7 linked regions of the Macaca mulatta genome follow. The protein of the gene in region 2 purifies or fractionates together with the protein of the main gene of each other region. This does not show direct contact. Links are inferred from orthologs where the notes say so. Each region holds a gene or a part of one and is shown on either strand. Other genes may lie near its edges.

Region 1 (3,500 bases), on a different chromosome or scaffold from region 2:
CGGGCACTCTCCCATTCCCTGGCCTCGCATAGACTGCTTCCTCTGCTGGAACACTCTCCCTGCCCATCTCTTTCAGCCCATGGTTCAGATGCCGCCACCTCCTGTAAAAGGCCTAGATACTCTCACCTGTCATGCTGTGCAGCCCAGGCTTACACCCTCTAACTCAACCCCATCACTCCACACTGGAGGAGCACATCCATGCTCCAGAGACAGGACTTCCCCGAGGAACAGGGCCTCAGCAGCCCCAGACAAGGGCAGCACCTGGCAGGGTGGGAACTCCAGAGCTTGTAGAAACCACAGGGAATACATCAGCGGGAGCTCAAAAGGCCAACAAGACAAGAGACCCTGGAGCTCTGATGGGCAGAGGAGACATGGAGTGAAAGACAGGGAAGGACGTAGTGTTGAGGCTACCGCTGAGGCTTCTGCACACCTGCAGGCAAGACTAGCCCCCAATCAAGCCCATCCTCAGCCCTGGCTCAGGAACAGCTGTGGGTGGGATGGGCCTGCTCCTTCTAGGCCTCACCTGTGCTGAAGGTGCAGCTGCCTCTTCACTGTCTGATTCCTCCTCACTGCTCTCAGAGTCTTCCTGCATCTCAGCTTTCACCTGGGTGACCGTAGGCCCCGTCTTCCCAGGAAGTACTGGAGCGGTCCCTTGCCCCAAGGATCCCTTGACAGGCACTGAGGCCGCTTTCACCTGGAGGCCTTTCCCCACAGACTTTGCCTGGGATGACAAGTGGAAGAGAGGTGTCTCTAGGAGTCCAAAGGACCACGTAGGGGCGGCCCTGAGGTCCCCCCATTAAACACAGGCCTCACCTGTCCCATGGTTACTGCAGGACCTGTCTTCTCTTCCTCACTATCTGATTCCTCACTGCTTGAAGAATCCTCTGCTGGTCTCTGGGTGCCCCCAGCCACAGCTGGGGATGAGCCTACTGGAGAAGTCACAGTTCCTGCTTTCCGGGGGGCTTGGGTGCCCACTCGCACAGGGGTGACCTTGGCAGATGCAGTATTGGTTTTCTTTGGGCAGGCCTTGGTCTGAGGAATTTTCAGAGCTGGTTTTGCCTAAGGGGACACCAAAGAAAGGCTGGAGAAGATTCCTGAACTCGGAGTCCCCCATCTGTTCTGAGGTGGATCCCCACTACTGTTCTGCCCCACCAGTCAGAACCCATGATCTGCCTGAGGGAAGCACAGCTCCCTGGGGGGCTGACTGTGGTGTGGTAGATCAGGCCATGTGGCAGCCTCCTTCCCCAGGCCTCACCTGAGCTGCAGTCATGGCTGCTGGTGTCTCCTCACTGTCCGCACTGTCCGACGACTCCTCGCTGCTCTCTGAGTCTTCCATGGGCTTTTCAGCCTTGACCTGGATGGCTACAGGCCCTGCCTTCTGAGGCGGTCCCTTGGCAGGACCAGAGGCGGGTTTGGCCTGGAGGACTTTCCCCAAGGATTTTTCCTGGAGTGAGATACACAGGATCAGGAGAGGGAGCCCAGAGTAGGTGTGTACAGACATTAAGAGACCAAGACGGTAGACAGAGTCCCAGTGGGAGGCCATGGGTGGCTCCACTCTGAGGGGAAGAAAAGAGCCTACAGGAAGGGGCCTCACCTGAGCCGGGGCCACAGCTGTGGGCACCTCTCCATCATCGCTGTCTGATGACTCCTCACTGCTGCTGTCTGAGTCCTCCCACTTCCCCACCTGGGCCGAGGGTGTTGTAGGCCCCGCCTTCCCAGGTAGCACTGGGCCGGGGCCTTTCCCCAAGGGCCCCGTGCCCATGGTGGAGGCAGGTTTCACCTGGGGGTTTTTCCCCAAGGGCTTCACCTGGGAGACACAATGGACAAGATCAGGGAGTCCAGAAGGAGAATATGAGTGAAGACATAGGTGGGGAGGAGAGCAAACGAAGCCAGCCGCACAGGGCTCTAGGTTCAGAGAGGAAAAGTCAAGCCCACAGGAGGTCTTCTGAGGCAAGGCACAGGCCATGCAGGGCGGCTTCCAGCCTCACCTGAGCTGCGTTCATGGCTGCCGGTGCCTCCCTGTCACTGTCTGACTCCTCACTGCTGCTCCCCGAGTCCTCCTCCTGCTTCCCTGCCTGGGCCTGGGTGGCTGCAGGCCCTGTTTTCCTAGGAGGTGCTGGGGCAGCCCCTTTCCTGGGGGACTCCTTGGCAGAGGCCGAGGCAGCTCTGACCTGGGAGGTCTTCCCTGAAGGCTTCGTCTGGAGTGAGAAACAGGATGAGAGAGGAGAGCCCGGAAGGTGTGAGGAGACAGGAGCTGGAGGCGGCAAAGGTGGCCATACCCATGCAGGTGCTGGGGTTTAGGCATGGGGCTACTCTCCACCCCTCCCCTCTGCCTCACCTGAACAGGCGCCTCCTCCTCACTGTCCGATTCCTCGCTGCTGCTCTGCGAGTCCTCCTCCTGCTTCCCGGTCTGGGCCTTGGCAACTGCAGGCCCTGTCTTCCCAGGGGGCGCTGGGGCAGCTCCTTTCCTGGGGGACTCCTTGGCAGGGGCTGAGGCAGCTCCGACCTGAGGGGTTTTTCCTGAGGCCTTTGCCTGGAGAAACAAGATAAGGGGAGACAGCCCAGGGGATGGATGTGTGAGGAGACACAGGACACCAGGTAAAGAAGACCAGATAGGGCAAATGACACCACACAGTGAGAGGGGAGTAAGGGGCTGGGGTCTGAGGCACGCCCCGGGCTCTGACACAGAGTGGGAGAACAAGTCCTGAGAAGCCTTCTGGGGAGGGCCTGACTGCATGGGGTCTCCCTCCTCAGGCTTCACCTGAAGCAGGGCCTTGGCAGCTGGCGTCTCTTCCTCACTGTCAGACGATTCCTCGCTGCTGCTCTCCGAGTCCTCCTCTGGCTTCCCTGCCTTGGTCTGGAAGGCTACAGCCCCTGCCTTCCCAGGGTGTGCTGGGGTAGCCCCTTTCCCAGGGGTCCCCTTGGCAGCGGTCGAGGCAGCTCTGACCTGGAGGATTTTTTCAGAGGTCTTTACCTAGTAAAAAAGAAAGGGCAGTTTGCTCTCCTGCTTGTGAGAACTCTCTGATGATGCCTTTAAGATAAAGTCCAGAGGCCTTAATGAGGCTCCTAAGACCCCCTCTGCTTCCCTTCCCAGGTAGCACTGGGCCAGCGCCTTTCCCCAAGGGCCCCGTGCCCATGGTGGAGGCAGGTTTCACCTGGGGGTTTTCCCCCAAGGGCTTCACCTGGGAGACACAATGGGCAAGATCAGGAGGGAGTCCTACTTCCACCTCAAGGCCTTGACAGTTGCTGAGCCCCTGCCTGGAATGACCTTCCTAAGAGTGCTTCCTCCTTCTGGTCTTTGCTGAGACGCCTTCTCCCAAGGCCAGCCCAGATCACTCCGTTTCAAGTTGCCATTCCTACATCCCCCACCCAACTTTCCCCTTTACCATTTACCAGCAGCTAACACAGGGGATCTGCTTACCTACTGCATGCCTCCACCTTGTCCTTCCCTAGGCCTGGGGCTGGGTGGGTGACCCTCACTCTTCCTCCTTCCTGCTCTG
Region 2 (3,500 bases):
TATTTACTAGCTCCTATGAAATCTTGTTATTAGTAAAACCTTTAAAATTAAAAGACCAGTAATCAATACCTCCAGTTCAACAACCAGTACCATTTCACCCCTGTGCCAAATCAGCAGTTTTAACACCAGTCCCCAGAGCAATCTGGTTCCCAGCCCAGCCTCTTGGGAACGGAAACAGTACCTGGTTTGGGAGGGGCCTTAGCCTGAGCTTTAGCTGCCACAGGTGTTATCTTTGGCTTCTGGTTCTTTGGTGGCTCATCCTCGGAGCTTGAGTCAGAATCAGAATCAGAGCTCTTGGCCTTCTTAGGAGGAGCTTTGGCTGCCTTGGCTTGGGGCTTAACTCCCTTCTGTTAGAAAAGACACAAGGAGAGAAATCAACAAAAGCTTCTAGGTACCCAAAGGGCATCCTATGTTCCTTTTATTTTTAGGGGCTTAATGCAGCAGTAAGAGCAAGAGAAAGCTAAGGACAGGATATGGAAAGGGCAAAAAACTCTTAAGAAACAACAAAGTTCAGCCACTTGATACATTGGCCCTGTTCCTGCCATATCCTGCCAAAGCTCCCAAGAAAACACACTCTCTTATTCTTGGAGCCCTGAATAGTGTCCCAGAAGAACCCAAACTCCTCAAGCAGAATGGGTTTAATTTCCTCTAGATTCCAAGCCTGACCTCAACCTCACAAATCCCTTCCAGATCTCATATTTTTATCAGCTCTCTGAAAATCCCCAGATTTTCTTCCTCATAATCACCTATTGTATTGCCGGCCATCACTCCTTGGTTACAAGTTAGAGGCCAAGATTTTGGTTTCTTCCTTTCCAATCCTTAAACCCCCTTTTCTTCCCAGAGCTGCAAACCTGGACAGGCTGTTTCTTTTGGTCCTCCTCCTCCTCATCATCACTGGACTCTTCACTGCTGCTGCTGCTCTCTGATGCTTTGGCTGTAGCCTTCCCAGGAGGCAGACCGACTCGCTTGGCAGGTACAGCTCAACAAAAACACAGGTCCCAGTAAGAATCACCCATGTGAAACAAGCAGGCTGTAAATTATTTTCCTGGCACCACCAAGCCCACCCGCTACTTTGCCTTACCAGCCTTCTTTGCTGGAGGCCCTTGAACTTCCTCCTCCTCCTCGCTGCTGTCCTCACTACTGTCACTGGATGAGGCCTTCTTCTTAGCTTTCTTAGCCACTGGTCCATTTGCCTGTAACTTTCGCTCTGGGGCCTTGGCAGACCTGCTAAGGTAGATTAGACCAATTTCTAGGAGACTGTAATCTTCCCAAACCAAGAAACATAGCCCAGCCCACCTTGGGGGAGAAATAGCCAAAATGGAACAGGAAAGGCTTACTTGAGCCAGAAGCTATAGATGTCTAAGAGGGAAGAGGCATTGGCATCCTGCTGTGTCTGTAGAAGAAAAAGAGCTGGGTAAGGAAATTATTTTATCCTGGTTATGCTTTCATTAAATGTGGCCTGTTATATACATAATTACTAAATTTGGTATAAATGTTACATCTTCATAAAACTTTTGCTACATGCATAAATCAGGAGAAAAACATTCTGTTTGTGGATATCCCAATTTCTGATCTAAAAAACTTGGGCTATTATCATGTTTGTGGCACCATCTAACCCCCTGCCCACCAATCTATATTGACCAAAGTCCTAAAAAAAAAAAAAAAAAAAAAAAAAAATCAGCCAGTCACAGTGGCTCATGCCTGTAATCCCAGCACTTTGAGAGGCTGAGACAGGCTGATCAAGAGGTCAGGAGTTTGAGACCAGCCTGGCCAAATCAGTGAAACCCCCTCTCTACTAAAACAAAAATTAGCCCAGTGTGATGGCACACGTCTGTAATCTTAGCTACTTGGGAGGCTGAAGCAGGAGAATCGCTTGAACCAAGGAGGCGGAGGTTGCAGTGAGCTGAGATCACGCCACTGCACTCCAGCCTGGGCAACAAGAGTAAGACTCGGCCGGGCGCGGTGGCTCAAGCCTGTAATCCCAGCACTTTGGGAGGCTGAGACGGGCAGATCACAAGGTCAGGAGATCGAGACCATCCTGGCTAACACAGTGAAACCCCGTCTCTACTAAAAAATACAAAAAACTAGCCAGGTGAGGTGGCAGGCGCCTGTAGTCCCAGCTACTCGGGAGGCTGAGGCAGGAGAATGGCGTAAACCTGGGAGGCGGAGCTTGCAGTGAGCCAAGATCGCACCACTGCACTCCAGCCTGGGCGACAGAGCGAGACTCCGTCTCAAAAAAAAAAAAAAAAAAAAAAAAAAAAGAGTAAGACTCTATCTCCAAAAAATAAATAAATAAATAAATCACTTTTGACTGGGCACAGTGGCTCATGCCTGTTATCTCAGTACTTTGGGAGGCTGAGACAGGAGGATCACTGGATGCCAGGATTTCATGACCAGCCTGAGCAACACAGCAAGACCTCCACCTGCCAAAAAAAAAAAAAAAGCTCACTCTCTTTACTTTAGCAATGTACTATCTATGGAGAAACCCCGTCTCCTAGCCGGGTGTGGTGACAGACGCCTGTAATCCCTGGTACTCAGGAGGCTGAGGCAGGAGAATCGCTTGAACCCCGGAGGCAGAGGCTGTAGTGAGCTGAGATCACGCCACTGCACTCCAGCTTGGGTGACAGACCAAGACCTTGTCTCAAAAAAAAAAAAGAAAGAAAGAAAGAAAGAAAGAAAAAAAGAAACAAGACTGATGAGTATTGTATTGAGTGTAAAGAACTGCATTTAGGGGCCAAGCACGGTGGCTCAGGCCTGTAATCTCAGCACTTTGGGAGGCTGAGGTAGGCAGATCATGAGGTCAGGAGTTCAAGACCAGCCTGACCAACATGGTAAAACCCTGTCTCTACCAAAAACAAAAAAAATTAGCTGGGCGTGGTGGCGCACACCTGTAATCCCAGCTACTCAGGAGGCTGAGGCAGGAGAATCGCTTTAACCCATGAGGCTGAGGTTGCAGTGAGCTGAAATCACAGCATTGTACTCCAGCCTGGGCGACACAGCAAGTCTCAAAAAAAAAAAAAAAAAAAGAACTGCATTTAGGCTGGGCGCAGTGGTTCACACCTGTAATCTAATACTTTGGCAGGCCGAGGCAGGAAGATCACTTAAAGACAGGAGTTCAAGACCACTGGGCAAAACAGTGAGACCTCCATCTCTCTCTCTTTTTTTTTTTTTGAGACTGAGTTTCGCTCTTGGTCGCCCAAGCTGGAGTGCAATGGCACTGCCATGGCTCGGCCTGTGGTGGCTAAACGCCTGTAATCTCAACACTTTGTGAGGCTGAGGCGGGTGGATCACCTGAGATCGGGAGTTGGAGACCAGCCTAACCAACATGGAGAAACCCCGTCTCTACTAAAAATACAAAATTAGCCAAGCGTGGTGGCACATGCTTGTAATAATCCCAGCTACTTGGGAGGCCAATGCAGGAGAATCGCTTGAACCTGGGAGGTGGAGGTTATGGTGAGTTGAGATTGCACCATTGCACTCCAGCCTGGGCAACAAGAGCG
Region 3 (4,280 bases), on a different chromosome or scaffold from region 2:
TGAGGCATCCAGAATAGCCTTAGCCTTGGCCCCATCCATTGTCAGCTCCTCCAGCTTCTCCAGCTTTTCCTCATTCAGTTCCCTTCGGTTTCCAATAAACTGGGCAAGACGGCAGTATGTGGCATTGTCGTTGATGATCTTCACCAGCTCCGGAAAGTGATACCCATACCACTCCCTGCAAAGAGCCACAGTCACTCCCTGGCCCAGCTGCTTCATCAAAAACCATAGAGCTACAAATCTTCATTCTATGTTCCCCCATTCACAATACAGACCAGGCACAGGGCCTGAGCTGAGGTGTATATAGGGTAGGTTTACTCTACCTCCTCTTTCTATACAGTCAGTGTAAGAACACAGCCTGTGGTAAGCACCAGGAGGCCTAGACCCAGCCCCAGTCCACATAGTTCTACCCACAGGATGGTCAGTCCTCATCAAGACTCAAAATTAGCTAAACTACAGACCAAAGGCTCCAGTATTATGGGTGGCCCCTGCACTTTACCTGACACGCATAGAGAAGGTATTGATGTCCTTATCCAGCTGGTCCAGGAGGCTAATGGACTGGATGATCATATTGTCCACTCGGTTCACATTAAACTTAACTTTGGCACGGGAATAGCTGTGTCCCAGCCCCAGCTGTGCTTTACAAGCTGACAGATCAGTCAGACCCTTCACCAGATTGTGGAAGTGCAGACGAACTCCTAAGAAGAGGGCAGGACGGTGAGCAACAAGGGGCTCTGAGCTAGCTCCCGCACCCATGGGCACCAGCCAAGTCCAAGGCCTTCCCAGAAGTCATAACAAGCACCCACGTTTCCAGAACCTCCTCCCCGAAAATGTCAAGGATAACATGAATATAACAGATGATGGTCTCACCTCGCAGGATCTCAGCTATGACGCCTCCAGTCTGGCAGTTGTACCCTAACTCCTCCTGTATTGCAGCACCAATCTTGGGATCCCCAACTCCCAAGAGTACTTTCTTCTTTTTGGATGGCAGGTGGGTCTCCAAGAGCAGGCGGAGGTCCTCATGAACAACCCCTCAGAGGAAAGAACACAGTTCCCACTCACAGGCTGAAGGATGATCAATTCTAACATCTCCTCAGCTGATTACCCTGCTTCCACGGAGCATGCTGGGATGGCATACCTAGACCCCTCCCCATCAGGCATTGCTCAGAGACATGGAGACATCAGTGACTGCACTCAGGGGATTGACAGATTTGATTCGCAAGTCATCACTGCAAAGCCTGGCCCAGCCATGGGAACAACTGCACTCAGGTCTGATAGCACAATCGTGCAATAAATAATAGCTTGTAACACACCCTTGAGTATTTAGTAGAATTTGCCTTTAGTAGAATTAACCTTTTTTTCTTAGCCTGTGTTTATCCAACCGCCCTTTCCAAGCAAATAGCAGAAAACTAGACACCTGATTGTGTTTAGGCAAAAAACTCAGGCACAGGTAGGTGTTAAGCCAACCCCCTTTAAGAAACCCCCTTTGTCAAGCCGGGCACGGTGGCTCGCGCCTGTAATCTCAGCACTTTGGGAGGCCGAGGCGGGGGATCACGAGATCAGGAGATCGAGACCATCCTGGCCAACATGGTGAAACCCCGTCTCTATTAAAAACACAAAATTAGCCGGGTGTGGTGGCTGGCACACGCCTGTAATCCCCGTTACTCGGGAGGTTGAGGCAGAAGAATCGCGTGAACCAGGGAGGCGGAGGTTGCAGTCAGCCCAGATCGTGCCACTGCACTCCAGCCTGGAGGGCAGAGACTCTGTCTCAAAAAATAAATAATCTGTCACTACAGTGCCCACAAGGAAACGTAACACACATCCCACATCATCTGCTTTCAACAGTTTGGTCCATCACAGTTCCCAGATCTTGAGCTCTGTGAAGACAATTATTTCAAATTACACAGTTATGTCTCAAATACTGCCTCACACCTATCAGACTCACAGCCGGCCAAGGACGGCAAATACTATCACAAGCTGCCCGAGAGGATACCAGAAGGAACCACATCTCCCTGTGATACTTGGTGGTGGCCGACTCACCTTCAGACACGGCGTTCGCATTTTCCAAGGCAACCTGGGACGAGGCAAAGGGACAAAAGGCCACCAGACGAACGATGTTGTGGAATTTGCCCAAGTTGAGCACGGACTCCTCCACCTAGCGGGGGAGAAAGAGGCTGAGTGGTTTCCTTCCCTCCCTCCTGCCTCTGCGGCGCAGTAAAGCAGCGGTTCTCAGCCTTGGAAGCTCTTAAAATATGCTGACAGCGGGACCCCACAACCCAGCTTCTGCTTTAATCGTTCCGGCGCGGGGTCCGGGAGGCTTATTTCTAACTGCTAGAGCGATTCTTCCCATGAGTCAAGGTAAAGACCCCCGGATCTAGAGCTTTCCAGGCCCGCCCCCCGCCCCGAACCTCTCGGCCGGCCACGTGGGAGCGCGCGCTGCATGCTGGGACCTGCGCGGTGAGGGTCTGCGAGGCCGCCTGAGGAGCCCATGGATCTCACCCACCTGCGGCTGCAGCAGACTGATCTCCTCCACTTCCTTCAGTGCCAGCAGCGCGTAGCCGACCGCATGCTCAAATAGCACGTGCAACAGCACCTGGAACGGGAGCCGGGGCGCTAGCGTCAGCTCAACCTCCGCGTCTGCCGGAACCCGCTCCGAGAGCAGGCGCAGGCCCAGGCCCAGGCCCAGGCCCAGGCCCAGGCTCTGTCTGAAGCGCGAACCCAGACCGAAGCCCCCACCTTCGCGTCGCCCGCGCCCCACAACCACTCCTCACCATGGCGCCTGCTCCCGGGTTCGGCTCGCAATGCGGCTAGCGCGCTCCGGCGCGCGGAACCAGGCTCCAGAGGCCCCGCCCCCGCCCCGCAGACCAATCGGAGGCCGGGGACGACACCATCTCCCGGCCTTTAGAGGGGCCGCCCGGGGTGGTATCGCCCGGAGCGCGGGCTGGGTGGCGCCGAGCGCGGGCGAGCAGGCCTTCTCTGGCCTCTGCAGCTGCGTGGGCGGGCGCGGTTGCCGGGGACGCGCGGCCCGGAGTCGGGCCTTGCTGGCAGCGAAAAGACATGGGTAGGCCCTTTCGGTATAATAGTCCAGTTCCAGATGTTCTTGTCATATAAGTTGCGGGCAGCAGAGATGGGTGAAGTCGGGGTGGGAGGCTCCGCGTAGGGCACGGCGTCCATCCCAGAGACCGCTGCCTAGCCGGCTGCCCGCTGCGCCCGTGGCCTCGGGCCCCAGACCCTGCGCCCCAAGTCCCCGGGACCCATCCGTTCCCGTCCCCTACTCGGGGACGAGCCTCCCCAGCGCTGGGTGGGCCGTGCATCCTTTCCTCCCACCCGGAACGGGAGCGTTTCCTTGCGCGCTTTGGCGCAGACCCTGCTGGGAACGTGGCTTGCGCAGCTTTCTTCGTACTACTAATTTTATTTATTATTTTTTAAAATGACGGTGTCAGGCAGTGACGTGCGAAAGAAAGACGCTCCAACGTCCTCCTAGGCCAGTTTCTTGTTGCTGTGCTGCACGGGACCCAGCTTCTTTTGCTGGCCACGTGTTGCTCCTCCGCTTGAGCGGCCCTGAATTCTGGGCACCGGCGAGCGCCAAGTGAATCGGAGCTCCTTCCCTGTCCTCGAGGGCGTCTTTTGGGCTCTCAGGCGACTATTTAGAAATGAGTTTTGCTTTAATAATTAATATTAACGTTATAAATCCAAAACCTAGTTATGCTTAAGTAGCATATCCCCTGATATATTTTAAAGAGTCATTCGAAGGGGATTTTTAAAAATGCTGTATAGCTATAAACTACATTTATACATTTAATTGTTATTTTGTTAATCGATTGAGTTACTTGACAAAATCCAAGTACATAGTTCACTCACAAATCTAATATGTCAAACCTAAAAAATATGGCCGGTAAATCTTACTCACATAATTTTAATATAGTTTACAGATGTGGTTGAATTCTGTTACACATGTCGACTTAACGAATCTGAATCGTTATTCCATTTAACATTTTAAAATGGAATTGCAAAATTAATCCATACATTAGCATGTTGAATTATTTTTACCGTCATCAATACATAAAATTAGACGATTCCAAAATGTAATGGAAAATATTAATGCTAAGACTTCAATTTACTTCGTTATTTCTGTCCTTAATCCTGAATTTTCCTGGGATTACAGGTGCTTATTCACTAAACCAGGGGCTTTCAAGCAAGAAGTCAGAATGCATTAATGGACAGCATTTTAAAAAAGTAGGATTGGGTGGGCTATAATCCAGCACTTCAGGAGGCCGAGGCAG
Region 4 (3,500 bases), on a different chromosome or scaffold from region 2:
GGAATCTAGCCCCCAACACACGCAGGCACCCTGAGAGCTGTTCAGCAGGTGTTCACAGAGCACCCCCTCTGTATCAGGCCCCTTGTGAGCCCTGGGATCCCCGAACACTCTGGGGCACTGTGCGGAGCTGCTCAGGGACTTACTGTGACCCTTCTCCCATAGTGACCCTGCCATTTGGCTTGATCTGATGATACCCTCCCTATGCTTACCGGTTCCCCACCAAACCTGCACACAAGTCCGAGCCCACTGTCCTCACCAACGGGACATTGGTGATCCATCCTGGCCCTCCTCTTCCACTGGCAATGGAATGACAATGGGTTAGAGGGTAGGGGGAGAGAGAGGAAAGAAAGGTTTGGCCAGAGATAGACAGGGGATGTCAGCCAAGGGGGTGACCCTGAACCAGTGTTTCTGGCCTCCTGAGGTGCTGAGTAGAGATGTCCTTTGTGTTCAGCTGGACTCTGCTCCCGAGGGCCAGGGCACTGAGGCACCTTCCACAACCTGCAGAGTGCTCTCGAGTGCTCGGCACTGTCTAAGTGCTGTACGCATGTGCACATTCATGCGTATACCCATTCAGTCCTCACGGGAGACCCATGAGGGAGGCACTGCAGATCACAACCCCTGATTCACATGTGGCAAGCCCAAGAAGCTCTGAAAACCTAGCATTGCTTCCAAGTTTAATGCAGAATTCATTCATTGGCAAACCTGACCCCAACTGATGTGAGGCTATATTTAGCCTCTTGGTGAGAATATTTGTGTTTTCCTACGGAGGTATCAATGGCTTTAGTAATAGGGTGCAGATCTTGCAGAGGTCATTACAGAATATATGGAACGTGTACCATTTTGCCTATTTTATTTTATTTTGAGACAGAGTCTCGCTGTGTTGCCCGGGCTGGAGTGCAGTGGCATGATCTCAGCTCACTGCAGCCTCCGCCTCCCAGGTTCAAGTGATTCTCTTGCTTCAGTCTCCCAAGTAGCTGGGACTACAGGTGTCCACCACCATGCCCGGCTAATTTTTGTATTTATAGTAGAGATGAGGTTTCACCATATTGGCCAGGCTGGTCTTGAACTCTTGGCCTCAAGTGATCCACCCGCCTCAGCCTCCCAAAGTGTTGGGATTATAGGCATAAGCCCCCATGCCCGGCCCATTTTGCCTCTCTATGCTTCACAATTTCTAAATTCCAAAGTATACCTGGTTCTAGGAGTTTTGGACCTGTGTTACTATTCTTACTAACATATGAAGAAACAGAAGTGTTAACTAACCTGCTTAAAGTCACCAGCTGGGTCTGTTAGGCTGGCCTGGGATGAGGGAAAGGTAGAGCATGGTGGAGGTCGGCAGTGCCACCCTCTAGGTGCCGGCCTTTCCATTTTTCTCAGGATGATTTTAGATGGACATATGGTTGAATCTGGGCTTGGGCTGGTGTTTGGGGGCGCAGAGGTTTGGGAGGCCAAGTTGGGAGAGGCTGCTCACTCTCTGTCCTTTCCCCAGATGGTGTGGTCCTGGTGGATCCTGAGTATCTCAAAGAGAGGAGAGGTAGGCTGTGGTCCCCATCCCCAGCCTGTCAAGGGCCTCCTCTTCCCCCTGGACCTCTAGCATAGGATCTCCCTGTCCGTCCCCACTGGTTCCCCTGAAAGCCTCAACAAATACCCCCACAGATGCCCTTGCCTCCTCCAGCCTGGGACGGCCCTGCCCCAAGCCTACTTTGGGAGAAGGTTTCCCTATGCCCTGAGCACTTTCACATCAATATGTCATGACTATGGCAAGGCTGGGGATGCCAGCAGGGCAGGATTAGGGTCTTCTTTAACAGAACAGAACGTTGATACCGGGGCAGTATCAATGTGCACCAATGTGCAGGAAGACAATGTGCACCAATGTGCACCAATGGGCGACTGAGCTGTGACAAGATCCTTGCCTTCCAGATACCACCCAGCACTTGCCCTGCCCCTACAACTCCCTGCTCCTTCCTCAGTCCTCCTACCCCCACCCCAGGCCTGCCAGACTACTCCAGCCCCCGCCAAGCCTGTCAGACCATTTCCATACCCCTCCACACATGCCATGGAGAGAGGTGGGAGGGGGAAGAAGGACAGGGCTTGCTCAGCAGGCAGCCCCCTCCTCCTCCCAGGGGCCAGGCCATGGCATCCTTCCAGGTACTCAATACCAGCCCCTCCTGGTGGAGACAGTACAGCCATCCCCAAAGAGCTTGGGACAGGCCTGGGGCCTCCAGCGGGGCTTGTCCCATGGCTGCTGTTGGCACTCTGGGGGGCTCACCTGCTGCTCTCCCAGGCCCCTCCTCAGTGCTCCTTGCTCCCCACAGTCTATGTGACGCTGACCTGCGCCTTCCGCTATGGCCGGGAGGACCTGGATGTCCTGGGCCTGACCTTTCGCAAGGACTTGTTTGTGGCCAACGTGCAGTCCTTCCCACCAGCCCCCGAGGACAAGAAGCCCCTGACGCGGCTGCAGGAGCGCCTCATCAAGAAGTTGGGCGAGCACGCCTACCCTTTCACCTTTGAGGTCAGGAACTGCCACCCCTGGAGCCCCATTCCAGAAATACCACCTCTAGGAAGCCCTCTGGGGTGGGCATAAGGGGTCGGTGTGGGTCATCTGCTCCCTGCCACCCAGTTTCCCAGTGTATGCTGGGACCTGGGGCACTGACACCTATGTTACCTGGTAAGTGTCTCTTCTCTAGCCCCTGCTGGGGTTTGTCACCTGTACCTTTGGGCCACTCAGACCGAGGCCAGGTCATTGGTGGGAGAAAGGGGGCGCCAAGGGGCTTCAGAGAAAGCAGGAGCCCTTTGTGGCCTGTGAGTCACTGCAAGGTGTCTCCAGCTCAGATCAGCTCCCCACTTGCCTGGTTTAACCCAGCTCGCAAGAGAGGGATGGCAAGTAGGTGATCTGTCTGCTCCACCACCTTTCAAATCAGAGACTAAGATGCTGGATTTCAAAATCTCAAGTTTCTTAGGCTCTCTGATTCTGAGATTCAGTGTGGTCCCTCCCTTTCTGGGAGACTTAGAGAGTGGAGAGGGTTATGGAGTCACCTTTTCCACATAGACATGTTAGCTCCCTATGGCTGCTGAAACAAATTGCCACAAACTTGGCAGCAATTAAAACAACACAGATGTATGAGCCTACAGCTCTGGAGGTCAGAAGTCCCAAAACGGGTCTCACTGTGCCTCAATGGAGGCATGGCAGGGCTGGCTCCTCTGGAGGCCCTCAGGGAGCGTCCACCTTTTCCAGTTTCGCTTTCCTTGGATCCTGGTGCCTTCCTTCATCGTCAAAGCCAGCAGTGGCTGTTGAGTCTTTTGCACATCCCATCACTCTGGCTCGTACATTTCTGCCTCCTGCTTCTACTTCTAAGGACTCTTATAATGATATCAGGCCCACCAAAATCATCCAGGATACTGTCCCCATCTCAAGGCCTTAATTGGATCTGCAAAGTCACTTTTGTCGTTAAGGTCCCAGGTTTGGGGGATCAGGGTGTGGACATCTTTGGGGGACCATTATT
Region 5 (3,500 bases), on a different chromosome or scaffold from region 2:
CATTTAAAAAAACTATTCACCCCATTGTCACTTAAATGTACTCACCTTTTGTGTTCATATTTTTCTGTTTTTGCTAATGCCTTTCCTGTTCCACTTATTTTTCTTATCTAAGACGAAAAGGAAAAATTACAAATACAATTCTAAGTCACTTTATAATACACTAAACAGTCTAGTGAATCAGTGGGCCAGCAAACAATTTCTGCTATTTTTTGTTATTTTGAATAGCATATCCTAATGGCAAATGCTATTGTATACATCAATTATTGGTAAATAATAGCAATTGTTAATAGTAGGCACAAAAAGAATACTTTAGACATACTAACAAGGATCATAAAACTGTTTAGCAGATAAAGTAACTTCATAAATTTACTCAATTTATTAACTTTTGACAGTTTAATACTTCTGGAATAAGCATGATGTGGTATTCTTACCCCTCTATCTTCCAAAGTTCTCAACCTGGCCTCTAATTTGGCTCTGTTCTCAACTCCCATTGCAGAACTTGAATCCTCACCAAAAGCATCATAACGGATAGCCAAAACAGTTTTCGCTGCCAGCATTCGAGAAATCTAATAGAAAAACATGAAGAACTATATTCCATGTTCAGATGTAAAATCCTCAATAACTGGCTCATGAGACAGTTCCAGCAAATTATCACATTTATTCCAGGATGTTATGAAACTATTATGAATCATACAATTCAAATCATCCATCGTATTTCAATCTTTGCCACAATCTAATGGCCATACATTACCACCAATTCTGTGGCTGAAAAGATTTTATAGCAGTTCCTGTCAAAAATTAGCTCAAACTGGATTTTGTAAAATTACTTTACTTTCTACCCACTGACATTAGTTCTGTGCCTTGAGGTCATTCACAACAAGTGCATCTTTTTCCCCATAACTTAAATATGTGTGGGTTCTGACTGGGCACAGTGGCTCAGCCTGTAACCCCAGCACTTTGGGAGGCCGAGGCGGGTGGATCACGAGGTCAGGAGATCGAGACCATCCTGGCCAACATGGTGAAAACCCGTCTCTACTAAAAACACAAAAAATTGGCTGGAAGTGGTGGCGGGCACCTGTAGTCCCAGCTACTCGGGAGGCTGAGGCAGGAAAATGGTGTGAACTCAGGAGGTGGAGGTTGCAGTGAGCCGAGATCGCACTACTGCACTCCAGCCTGGGCGACAGAAAGAGACTCCGTCTCAAAAAATAAATAAATAAATAAATAATAAAAAGTGTGGGTTCTTTTTCAACCTAATTAACATTTTATTTTATTGCACCCTTTATTTCCCTCCACCACTCTGCTCTAAATTTTATCAAATTTCAGTTTAGTTCTGTTAAACAACACATCTTTCAAAAACATTGGAAGTACTTAACTTGTCTAAGCCTCAGTTTCATCATCTGTAAAACAGATACCTACATCTCATAAGGCTACTAAAGATTTAGGATGGGCACGGGTGCTCACACCTGTAATCTCAGCACTCTGGGAAGCCAAAGTGGGTGGATCACGAGGTCAGGAATTCGAGACCAGCCTGGCCAACATGGTGAAACCCGTCTCCACTAAAAATACAAAAATTAGCCAGGTGTGCACATGCCTATAGTCCCAGCTACTCAGGAGGGTGAGACAGGAGAATTGCTTGAACCCAGGAGGTGGAGGTTGTAGTGAGCCGAGATCAAGCCACTTGCACTCCAGCCTGGCAACAGAGCAGGACGCCGTCTCAAAAAAAAAAAAAAAAAAAGGTTTAGTGAATTCTGTCAAAGTGTTTTAGCATAATGCATATACTATTGTTTATGATTCATAAATGTTAGATTTTTTTTTCCTGCCAGAGATAATATTTTCAGTGTGCCAACCACAGGGAGATCCTAGGGGAAAAAAAAATACTAACACAATGAAGAAACTGGCTTTAAATCAACAGATAACAATTTCTTCTAACTTTATCCTTCAGTGTACACAAAGTGCTTTTTATTTAAATAACTCACCATTCTCTAACGAGAAAGAGACAATAGAAAGATTTAATGTGTACTACAGAAGAAAAAAGGGTTGTAAAAAATGAAGAAGTCCAACCTCAAAAACAAAACAAAACCCTGTAACACACCTTTCCTTTGTGTTTGGGACTTGTCTGGCCTACGAGTGAAGCATGATAAATGAGACCGTACTTAGGGGTATCCCGTCTAGATTTGAGGGCTCTGAAGAGTGCCTTTTCTGCTCCAAGAATCTGAACGGTAGAAGCTGCATGCTTGGCCAAATTCAAAAGAGAACCTATAAAAGAAAAAAGTTACCAAGAATGCACCTTCAAATATATGAATGTTCCATGTACTAAAACAAAAGACCTATACAATATTATAGCCACCACAATAAATAAAAATCACATATAATATAGAATTCTATAATCCAGAATTCCCTAAAAACCTTGATGTTTCATTTGTAATTCCTTCATTAGCACAAGCAGGTTTGCAATGAATGCCTAGGACAAACTGAAGGTTAAGCTTATTAAGTCCAATGTCTCTATTCACCTGAGAGATGGTAGTACCATTCTATATTTCATTAGTGTACTACAGGAGTGACATAAATGTCACACACAGGAACACTAGGTTTTAAGTCTCTTGCCACCCCACTCAGCTCCCCCGCCATCCCTATCTACCCATTAGTCACTTTTGTAGCCCTCTCCGTGGTGCAGTAGTACTGCAGTGCTTATATTCAAGTAAACAATGCACAAAAATAGTTATGCTGGCATATTTTTTTTTTTTGAGATGGAGTTTTGCTGTCGCACAGGCTGGAGTGCAGTGGCACGACCCTGGTTCACTGTATCCTCTGCCTCTCAGGTTTAAGCAATTATCTGCCTCGCCCTCCTGAGTAGCTGGGATTACAGGCGCCCACCACCACGCCCAGCTAATTTTTTTCGTATTTTTAGTAGAGACAGGGTTTCACCATCTTGGCCAGGCTGATCTTGAACTCCTGACCTTGTGAGCCACCCTACTCGGCCTTCCAGAGTGCTGGGATTACAGGTGTGACCCACTGCCCCTGGCTGCTGGAATATTGTTATAACTGTTCTATTATTACTGTTGTTCATATCCCACTGTACCTAATTTATAAATTAAGCTTTATTGTAGATATGTATGTTTAGGAAAAAACAGTATATACAGTATAGGGTTCAGTACTATCCTCTGTTTCAAACATCCTTGGGAGAGCTTAGAATATATCCCCATAAATAGCTGGGGACTATTGTTATCAACATGCTGCTTAGTTGGATATGCTGAATAGAATATTTATTGTCAGAAAACAGACTCAATATTAATGCTATGAATTTAAGCACTAGACATAGTTTAAAAAGTGTAATAAATACATAGTTCCTTTTTTTTGAGATGGAGTTTCGCTCTTGTCGCCCAGGCTGGAGTGCAATGTCACAATCTCGGTTCACTGCAACCTCTACCTGCTGGGTTCAAGTGATTCTCCTGCCTCAGCCTCCCAAGTAGCTGGGATTACAGGCTCACGCCACCAAGGCC
Region 6 (3,500 bases), on a different chromosome or scaffold from region 2:
TCTCCCCCCAGAAAGCGAGGAAGAGGTATGAGGGCAGATTTGAATGTGGCAGGAATCTTTGTCCCAAGAGGGTGACGTAGGGGAATGAGTTTCTTACTTGGTATCAAATTCAATGAGGTTGGTGTCCACGGGGACGTCTGTCTCCGGAGCGGCTGGGGGGATGGGAAGAGGGGGTGTGGGGGTGGGTGCTGGAAGGGCCAGTTTTCCTCCACTGGCCCTGCTTCAGGCCCTCCCTCTGAGGGCTTGGGGTGGGCGGTGTGCTCACCTGACTGGGGTCTGGGGAGGGGGGTGTGGTCGCGGGGCTTGGGGTGCATAAGAACAAAAGGCAGCTCCACAGACACATCCCTGGGGAAGGGGAGAGGGATCGTGAAGAGGATGACAACACAGGACCATCGAGAGCCAGTGTGACCCCCACCCAGGACCCCCCATGACACTCACCCGCCTCGAGACACCACCAGCTTCACCTTGACCCTGTAGGACACCAGGATTCCCAGCACCTCCTTGTTGGCACCCTCCTTCACGCTGCAATTGCGGTGGTGGAGTCAGACCAGGGCCCATCCCCCTGTCACCTGGCCCACCGTGGGGTTCCCATGGGGCCTCTGGGCAGGACCACAAACTCGCACAGGCCCGCGGGGCCCCAGCAGCCCGGGCGTGCGGTTACGGTACAGTGCGCGCTGCACTCCCCGTGCAGAGCCTCCTGTGGTTTCTCTCCCGTAAAAGCTGTCCTTCTCCGCTAACAGCACTGCACCGTCTGGCTCTCCATTAGCCCCTGACCTCACCTCCTCCTCCTCTCCTGCTACTTAGTTCTTGATAAGTTGCCTTCCGGGCCTGTTGTATGTGGCTGTGCAGTGAGAACCCTGAACAAAGGCACCGGGGAAGGTGAAATCCAGCCCTTTGTGAAGCTGAGGACCTCCAGGGCTGCTCCTGCCCGAGGGCACGATGGCACCTCCCCATTCCTCCAACACTCCAGGCTGCCCCACCTCTGAGTCTTTGTTTTTTCTCTGCCCAGAACTGTCCTTTCCTGCTCACCCATGTTGCTTACTTCCGCTGGGTCCTTACTCCCAATTCACCTTTGCATCTCACTGCGCCCCATCCCTCCCTTCTCTGCCTGGCTTTTTCTCCTTCATACTTGTCACTAAACCTGCCGTACAGTGACCACTGATCGGATTTGTCTAGCCTCCCTCTCCTAGAATGTAAGAGTTCTTTTTGTCTCTTCTGTTCACTGTACCTCCCTGGCACCTAGGATAGGGCCTGGCACATAGTTAGCACTCAACTGACGTCTGGCCCCTGGCCTGTGGGGGACCCGCCCCAGCCCCACCCTCACATGGTGCTGGAAGCCAGGTTGGTGTCCTCGTGTTTGAGTTTCCCATCCAGGGCGAGACCCCGCTTCTCCCGGTTGTCACTGAGCAGCGGGGTGATGGTGTACACCTTACAGAACGTGGAGCTGGGAGATACCTGGTCACTGGGGGTGGGAACAAGAGAACAAGACGCTTCAAGGGGCTGGACTGGGCGAGGGGCGGCCTATCACCCCCAAGCAGCATCTCCCCTTCACCAGTCCCTTCTCTCTTTGGGCACAGGTCACAAGGGAGTAGGTTGTGGCTCAACGTGCTCAAGAAAATTAGCAACCCAGAGGTGCCTGGTTGTAGAGGGAATACCCTTTTAAGTGAAGATGGTGGTTGGTCACAGTGGCTCACGCCTGTAATCCCAGCACTTTGAGAGGCCATGGCGGGTGGGTCACTTGAGGTCAGGGGTTCAAGACTAGCCTGGCTAACACAGTGAAACCCGTCTCTACTAAAAATACAAAAAAATTAGCCTGGCGCAGTGGCGGGCGCCTATAGTCCCAGCTACTCGGGAGGCTGAGGCAGGAGAATGGCTTGAACCCGGGAGGCGGAGCTTGCAGTGAGCTGAGATCACACCACTGCACTCCAGCCTGGGCGACAGAGCGAGACTCCGTCTCAAAAATAAATAAATAAATAAATAAAAATAAGCCAGGTATGGTGTTGCATGCCTGTAGTCCCAGCTACTTGGGAGGCTGAGGCAGGATAATCGCCTGAACCTGGGAGGTGGAGGTTGCAGTGAGCAGAGGTTGCCCCATCACACTTCAGGCTGGGCAACAAGAGCAATAATTCCATCTCAAAAAAAAAAAAAAAAAAAAAAAAATAGTGGCGATGGCTTAGGAAGAATTCTTCCCCCACCTCACACTCTCCCGATCCTGCTCTTCTCCCCCAGACTGGGAACTGGGTCTCTCCCGATACTCACTCTTGTTCGAGTTGAGCCACGGGACACTTGTACTGGGCGGTGCTGAAGAGGCAGATGTCGGCGTACTGTCTCACTGTGGGGGGGGACAGGGTCAGGCAGCTCTGGATGGAGCACAAGCCACCCCCACAACACAACTCCAGACCCCGTGGCGTGGCCCCTCCATGCTCCCCCCTGGAAGCAGTAAACACCGAGGCTCCCTGTATCATTCTGGAACAACCTAAATTCTTTGAGCCCTGGTGGGTCTCCCGCCCTGGGAAATGGCCTGGGCTGAGATCACACCAGGAGCCACCTGTGCAGTAACACCCTCCCCAAAGACCCCCTTCCAAACCCCACCTCCTACCAGAGACTTTGATCTTCTTGACGGTCTTGGTGGAGTTGTTGGTGACGTGGACATTTACATTGAGGGGCTCCCCATGGTAGTACAGCTTTTGGGGGGAGGGGGTCATATGAATTGGATCTGGTTTTTACTGGTCCCATCATCAGTGTGTCCCCAAACACAACACATTGTTCTGGCCCCCTCCCATCAAACCCAAGCATACGGCAACTCTCCACATCCAGCCAAGGCAACCTCCTTTACAAATGTCATCTTGACGTGTGGCTTCGCCCCCCCTCCCCTGGGTCTAAACTGCACCGTGGCATCCGCGTCACCCTCTCACACCCCACCTCCTTGTCCAGGGAAGCCTCGAGGTGCAGGGACCGGTCAGACATGAGGAAGTGGCGTGTGGTTTCTGCTGAAGGCTGGGGGCCGGGTTTCTCTGGGGCAAACTGCACCTTTCGGATCACCAGTCGCACAGAGTTCCTGGGATGGGGGTGGGGGCAGAAGGGGGTCAATCCTCAGACACCTAGACCCCTACTCCTCCCCCGCACGGGGCCTGGGCTCCTGGAAAGCCTCCTCTTACATCATAGAGGAGGTCGCGTCCCTCACCTTTTGTGGCTTTTCTCCTCTAGTGATTTAGCACAGAAGGCTCGAATCTCAAAGTCTACGCCGCAGGCCTCAGGAGGGGGAGAAAAGGCCACATCTTACCCAAGGCTCCCGCCACCATCACTCCCCTTCCTTCCTCCCCCTTCCCTCCTCTTGGGCAGGGATGCTTGCCCCATTGTGGTCTCACGACCCTGGCGACCAAGTCTTCCTCTCCAAAGCCCCGAACCTGGCAGAGGCTTGGTCATGGTAGTGCAAGGGGCAAGGGGAGCCCCCATCCCCAGATCCATGCAGGTCCAGAGAGCAGAAGGCAGGGTCACGC
Region 7 (4,018 bases), on a different chromosome or scaffold from region 2:
CTCTTTACTGCAATTCTGCTTCTTCATCACTAGGCTAGGATGTTTTGAGTGATGGAGTTAATCATTTTTTCTGAAAGATTACCAGGAAGCATAAGCCTGACCCCTCACATTAAACAGTGATTACCTACACAGCTGCTCTAACACACAGAAACAGCTTTTCAATTCCACATTCTTAGTCCACAGAACCTCTGCAAAAGGGCCACACTGGAAATCACATGTATGCAAAGTGCTTACGTCACTCTTCCGTCTTCTCAATCTCTCACTAAATGACATGTAACCACATGAAATGATCTGGCAATAACGAAGACCCATCACAGATTCTAAGAACTACTTTTTACTATAGCCTATAAAACATTATTAAAGCTATACAATTAATCTGTTACCAGAAGGAAAATTTAGCCGACCCTTCATGCTCATTAAAATCATCTTCATGGAAGAGATAACAAAAGACATATCATTATCAAACTGATTGCTAAACCATATATTAAAATCGTTTTGTTCCAATTATTGCTTTAGTAATAATACGTGAATTCTTCTACATTTTTACTAGCTGATAAGCAACAATGGCTCTCTGGCTTCCCAACAAGGCTTCTCAGCACTACTGGCGCACTATATCCATCCCACCTGAAACTTTACTGCCAAAGGAAAAAAAAAAGCAAGTGATTATCTGCTAAGGAATTTCCTTCCACTTGGGTTTGACATACATTTCTGAAGTCGCTCCAATTTTTTCCAACTTTCTTTCTGGAACAACGGAGAGCATGCACCAAGACTAACAAACACAGTGCTCAGGGAGCCCTTAAATTGAGAATGGCTTTCCTGTCTTTTGAATACCTATTTATTTTCTAACAAATGGAGCCCTTTAGGAATTTTTGCTTTAGGCAATTTACTTTTTAGAACAAACACCTTCCTGAACTTAGATTTGAACTAAGATCTGTGACCAGTCTGCACATTTTCTTGAAAGTTCACAGCAAAATGGGGTGGAAAAAGAAGTAATGAAGGGACATCAGATAAATAAAATCTGAGCGTGGGCTGGGCACAGCGGCTTATGCCTGTAAACCCAGCAATTTTAGGAGGCCTGCAAGGAGTCCTTTTGGAGGACTGCTTGAGCTCAGGAGTTTAAGACCAGCCTGGGCAACTTGACCAGACCCTGACTCTACAAAAAAATTTTAAAAATAACTGGGCGTGGTGGCATGCACCTGTAGTCTCAGCTACTTGGGTGAGATGGGAGGATCATTTGAGCTCAGGAGTTGAAGGCTGCAGTGAACTATGATCTGCACTACAGCCTGGGTGACAGAGTGAGACTCTGACTCTAAATAAATAAATTAAATTAAATTCAAGCTTGCATTGCCCATTCTAGAACGTGACTGGGGTAGCTTACAACCTTCTGCCCTGTGGGGGGAAAAATGTTACATACCACTCATAGGACACTCACCTTGAGGATTTTTACAACCACTCTCTCATTGTTGGTGATGTTAATGGCCTCAAATACTTCACTATATTTTCCCCGACCAAGTTTTCGAACCAGTTGGTAATCATCTTGATTACTGTAAAAGGAAGACACACACATAAATGCCAGGACTGGGGGTTAATCTAAGCAAGCCTATGCTCACTGTATACGTCATTCAGCCGCTTCCAACAGGCAAACACTTGGAAGTGTCTATACATCACGTCACAACTCATTCCCTAAATGAAAGCCACGACGTAATCTTGGCTCCCTTCACTCTGCAGAGCTCCTAACCTAATTGGTCTCTCCTAACTTGGAAAGATGGGGCAGGAAGGCAACGCTCTGAGCCAATCCAGAGGGCTGAGCAAAGCACCCGTCCTGAAGGCCTAGAGGGTGCCCCCTGTGCCCCGCGGCTCCCCAGCACCTGCTTCCCGTTTCACACCCTGAGGGTAGACAGTGCCTGTTTTAAAAAACTGGACGTCTTTAAGAAATTTCCTCCCACCACCTCATCTCAGAAAACCGAAAAGGCAGGGAATTTTAATAGCTCCAAAGGACAGCTGTTGACTTCCCACCCCAGTGGAAACCCAGAAGCGTGAGGAAGGGCTACTCCCTCACTTTTACCGGGCGTCGATCCCTGGACCCCACACTTCTCCCCGAGTAAAAAAGCATTCCTTGGGGGAAAGAGGTGCGCAAAGCGGGGAGAAAGGGACAAGGGGAGGGAAGAGGAAGACGAGGACATGTGCGAGAGCTGGACCTCTGCCTCCCTGCGGGCCCGCGGAGGGGTCGGCGGGAGACACCACCGGGCCCGAGTGCGGTTCGCAGGGGGTGGCCGGGCGGGGGCAGGGGTCAGCGGGCCCGGCGGGGGGCGGCGGCGGCTTTACCCCCAGCTCGGGACGTGAGCCTCGTAGTCCCAGTACTCGCGGCTCCTCAGGCTGTTCACCTCGGCGTAGACCCGGGCCCTGCTGCCCGCGGCCGGGCCGGGCATGGCGGGCGGGACCGGGGGGCGGCGCGGGGCGCAGAGGGTGGCGGCGGCGACGCGGCGGAGGGCGCGGGGCGGCGGGCGGAGGGGGCAGCGGGCCGCCGGGCGCTGGAGGAGGAGGAGGAGGAACGCGGCGGCGGGCGGCCGCGCCAGGCCGGGCCCGCGGGGGCGGGCGGGCTGGGGGCGCGGGGGGCGCCGGCCGAGCCGGCCCGGCCCTGGAGCGGCCGGCGGGGCGGCGGGGCGGGCGGCGCTCGCGATCCGCGGCGGTCTCCGCTCGGCTCGCGGCCCCCAGGAGGCGGCGGCAGTGGCGGCGGCGGCACCGGCAGTGGCAGCCACCGGCCGGGAAAGGGGCAGCGGCCGCGGCAGCGGAGAAGAAGGAGGAGAGAAGGAGGAGGCGGAGGAAACCCGGAAAAGGGGCCGCGCTCGCTGGGAGCGGCCGCCGCCCGGCCTGGGACCGCCCAGGCTCACAGCGCCCCCTGGAGCGCGGGGGGACCCGCCGGGCGGTGCCGGCCCCGCCCCGGCCCCGCCCCGGCACGCCCCGCCGCCTACCTCGCGCCCTCCCGCACCGTCCCGCACCCTCGCCCTCCCGTCGCCCCAGGTCGGACGGTCCAAATCGCCTCACCCTCGGGCTGGCCTGACTTCACGCCACAGGAGCCCCCCTTCCACTGGCCGTTGCCCTAGAGCCCTCGCCCGCGAGTCCCGACCCTTTCACTGTCCTTGGAGACCCTACCCCTAGCCCTGCACTCACCCAGCTTTTACCCACCCGACACCTCCCATACTGACCCTATTCTGACCCTCCTGTCACCCAAACTGTCAAGTCCCTCCCCAGGGCCTCGCTCAAACCTCAGAACCTCTCCCACCTCAATACTTCTCCTTTTCCCGGAGACATACCCCTCCTTCCCCCTCTGGACCCTGCCCTGTTAGGGTAGACTCCTCAGTCCCCAAAGCTTCCCACCCCCGTCATTCAGAGTCCTCACAAAACCTTTCCACGCTTCCCCCAAATGCCCTTCCAGAGCCTTCCCTGAATATCCACTTTGGTCACTTGGTTAAGCTGGCGTCGGCCAGGTTGTGCCACTGCAAAGTTACAATTTTTCCCTTTGTGATTAGTTAGTTATTTGTGGGGAGAGACTTTGAGTGTGTAAATCTCCTGTTTGTGTTTAGGAGGAGGGAGAGCAGAATTGCAAATCCGACCTGAAGGGACAGCAGGGATTGGGGATGCACCAGGGTAGGTGGTCAACTGAACTGGCCTGGCTTCCAGTGTTGCTTGCAGCCCTGAACACCCTTCTCCTTGGACCTTCTAGGCCCTTCCTTTGTCTTCCTTTCCCATCCTGCATCCTTTATCGACAGGACCTCTGCACCCAGTGCAGGTTGCTCTCATTCCAATCCCTTTTCACAGTCTGTTTTCTAGATGAAATCCTGGGCCTTCCTCCTTGACACAGCTAAGAGCACAGACTGTAGAGTCAGATCTATCCAGCACTGCTACTTAGAAGCTGTGTGACCTTAGGACAATTACTCAACCTCTCTGTGTCACAGATTCTACAGCACAAAACCAGTAATAGCACTCACTTCACAGGGCTGCAAGGAGAATTAAACAA

What was found.
Region 1: the proteins of NOLC1 (region 2) and TCOF1 purify together in Homo sapiens (affinity purification with western blotting; 4 studies listed by BioGRID and IntAct, with this or other methods). This does not show direct contact. The link is inferred for Macaca mulatta from reciprocal best matches to the Homo sapiens genes NOLC1 and TCOF1.
Region 3: the proteins of NOLC1 (region 2) and NOP56 purify together in Homo sapiens (affinity purification with mass spectrometry; 6 studies listed by BioGRID and IntAct, with this or other methods). This does not show direct contact. The link is inferred for Macaca mulatta from reciprocal best matches to the Homo sapiens genes NOLC1 and NOP56.
Region 4: the proteins of NOLC1 (region 2) and ARRB1 purify together in Homo sapiens (affinity purification with mass spectrometry; 4 studies listed by BioGRID and IntAct, counting the BioPlex papers as one, with this or other methods). This does not show direct contact. The link is inferred for Macaca mulatta from reciprocal best matches to the Homo sapiens genes NOLC1 and ARRB1.
Region 5: the proteins of NOLC1 (region 2) and NOP58 fractionate together in Homo sapiens (co-fractionation; 3 studies listed by BioGRID, with this or other methods). This does not show direct contact. The link is inferred for Macaca mulatta from reciprocal best matches to the Homo sapiens genes NOLC1 and NOP58.
Region 6: the proteins of NOLC1 (region 2) and ARRB2 purify together in Homo sapiens (affinity purification with mass spectrometry; 5 studies listed by BioGRID and IntAct, counting the BioPlex papers as one, with this or other methods). This does not show direct contact. The link is inferred for Macaca mulatta from reciprocal best matches to the Homo sapiens genes NOLC1 and ARRB2.
Region 7: the proteins of NOLC1 (region 2) and CSNK2A2 purify together in Homo sapiens (affinity purification with mass spectrometry; 5 studies listed by BioGRID and IntAct, with this or other methods). This does not show direct contact. The link is inferred for Macaca mulatta from reciprocal best matches to the Homo sapiens genes NOLC1 and CSNK2A2.

Annotation. Positions count from the first base shown.
Region 1 is NC_133411.1:159,339,633-159,343,132, reverse strand, and holds part of TCOF1 (treacle protein), read right to left. Parts: intron 2,975-3,500; coding exon 2,762-2,974; intron 2,534-2,761; coding exon 2,339-2,533; intron 2,199-2,338; coding exon 1,989-2,198; intron 1,808-1,988; coding exon 1,595-1,807; intron 1,445-1,594; coding exon 1,256-1,444; intron 1,060-1,255; coding exon 814-1,059; intron 722-813; coding exon 524-721; intron 1-523.
Region 2 is NC_133414.1:114,264,066-114,267,565, reverse strand, and holds part of NOLC1 (nucleolar and coiled-body phosphoprotein 1), read right to left. Parts: intron 1,394-3,500; coding exon 1,338-1,393; intron 1,228-1,337; coding exon 1,082-1,227; intron 980-1,081; coding exon 852-979; intron 348-851; coding exon 182-347; intron 1-181. UniProt on the Homo sapiens protein: Nucleolar protein that acts as a regulator of RNA polymerase I by connecting RNA polymerase I with enzymes responsible for ribosomal processing and modification.
Region 3 is NC_133415.1:81,429,492-81,433,771, forward strand, and holds the start of NOP56 (nucleolar protein 56), read right to left. Parts: upstream 2,801-4,280; 5' UTR 2,772-2,800; coding exon 2,769-2,771; intron 2,591-2,768; coding exon 2,501-2,590; intron 2,153-2,500; coding exon 2,038-2,152; intron 1,233-2,037; exon of another isoform or gene 1,158-1,232; intron 1,030-1,157; coding exon 868-1,029; intron 696-867; coding exon 497-695; intron 378-496; exon of another isoform or gene 246-377; intron 176-245; coding exon 1-175. UniProt on the Homo sapiens protein: Involved in the early to middle stages of 60S ribosomal subunit biogenesis. Required for the biogenesis of box C/D snoRNAs such U3, U8 and U14 snoRNAs. Part of the small subunit (SSU) processome, first precursor of the small eukaryotic ribosomal subunit.
Region 4 is NC_133419.1:75,673,523-75,677,022, reverse strand, and holds part of ARRB1 (beta-arrestin-1), read left to right. Parts: intron 1-1,486; coding exon 1,487-1,558; exon of another isoform or gene 1,559-1,653; coding exon of another isoform or gene 1,654-1,671; intron 1,672-2,281; coding exon 2,282-2,509; intron 2,510-3,500. UniProt on the Homo sapiens protein: Functions in regulating agonist-mediated G-protein coupled receptor (GPCR) signaling by mediating both receptor desensitization and resensitization processes.
Region 5 is NC_133417.1:107,476,375-107,479,874, reverse strand, and holds part of NOP58 (nucleolar protein 58), read right to left. Parts: intron 2,257-3,500; coding exon 2,093-2,256; intron 567-2,092; coding exon 432-566; intron 108-431; coding exon 46-107; intron 1-45. UniProt on the Homo sapiens protein: Required for the biogenesis of box C/D snoRNAs such as U3, U8 and U14 snoRNAs. Part of the small subunit (SSU) processome, first precursor of the small eukaryotic ribosomal subunit.
Region 6 is NC_133421.1:6,246,856-6,250,355, reverse strand, and holds part of ARRB2 (beta-arrestin-2), read right to left. Parts: intron 3,253-3,500; coding exon 3,185-3,252; intron 3,059-3,184; coding exon 2,923-3,058; intron 2,685-2,922; coding exon 2,600-2,684; intron 2,333-2,599; coding exon 2,260-2,332; intron 1,463-2,259; coding exon 1,325-1,462; intron 523-1,324; coding exon 439-522; intron 346-438; coding exon 266-345; intron 189-265; coding exon of another isoform or gene 153-188; coding exon 98-152; intron 1-97. UniProt on the Homo sapiens protein: Functions in regulating agonist-mediated G-protein coupled receptor (GPCR) signaling by mediating both receptor desensitization and resensitization processes.
Region 7 is NC_133425.1:53,802,437-53,806,454, forward strand, and holds the start of CSNK2A2 (casein kinase II subunit alpha'), read right to left. Parts: upstream 2,801-4,018; 5' UTR 2,430-2,800; coding exon 2,326-2,429; intron 1,545-2,325; coding exon 1,433-1,544; intron 1-1,432.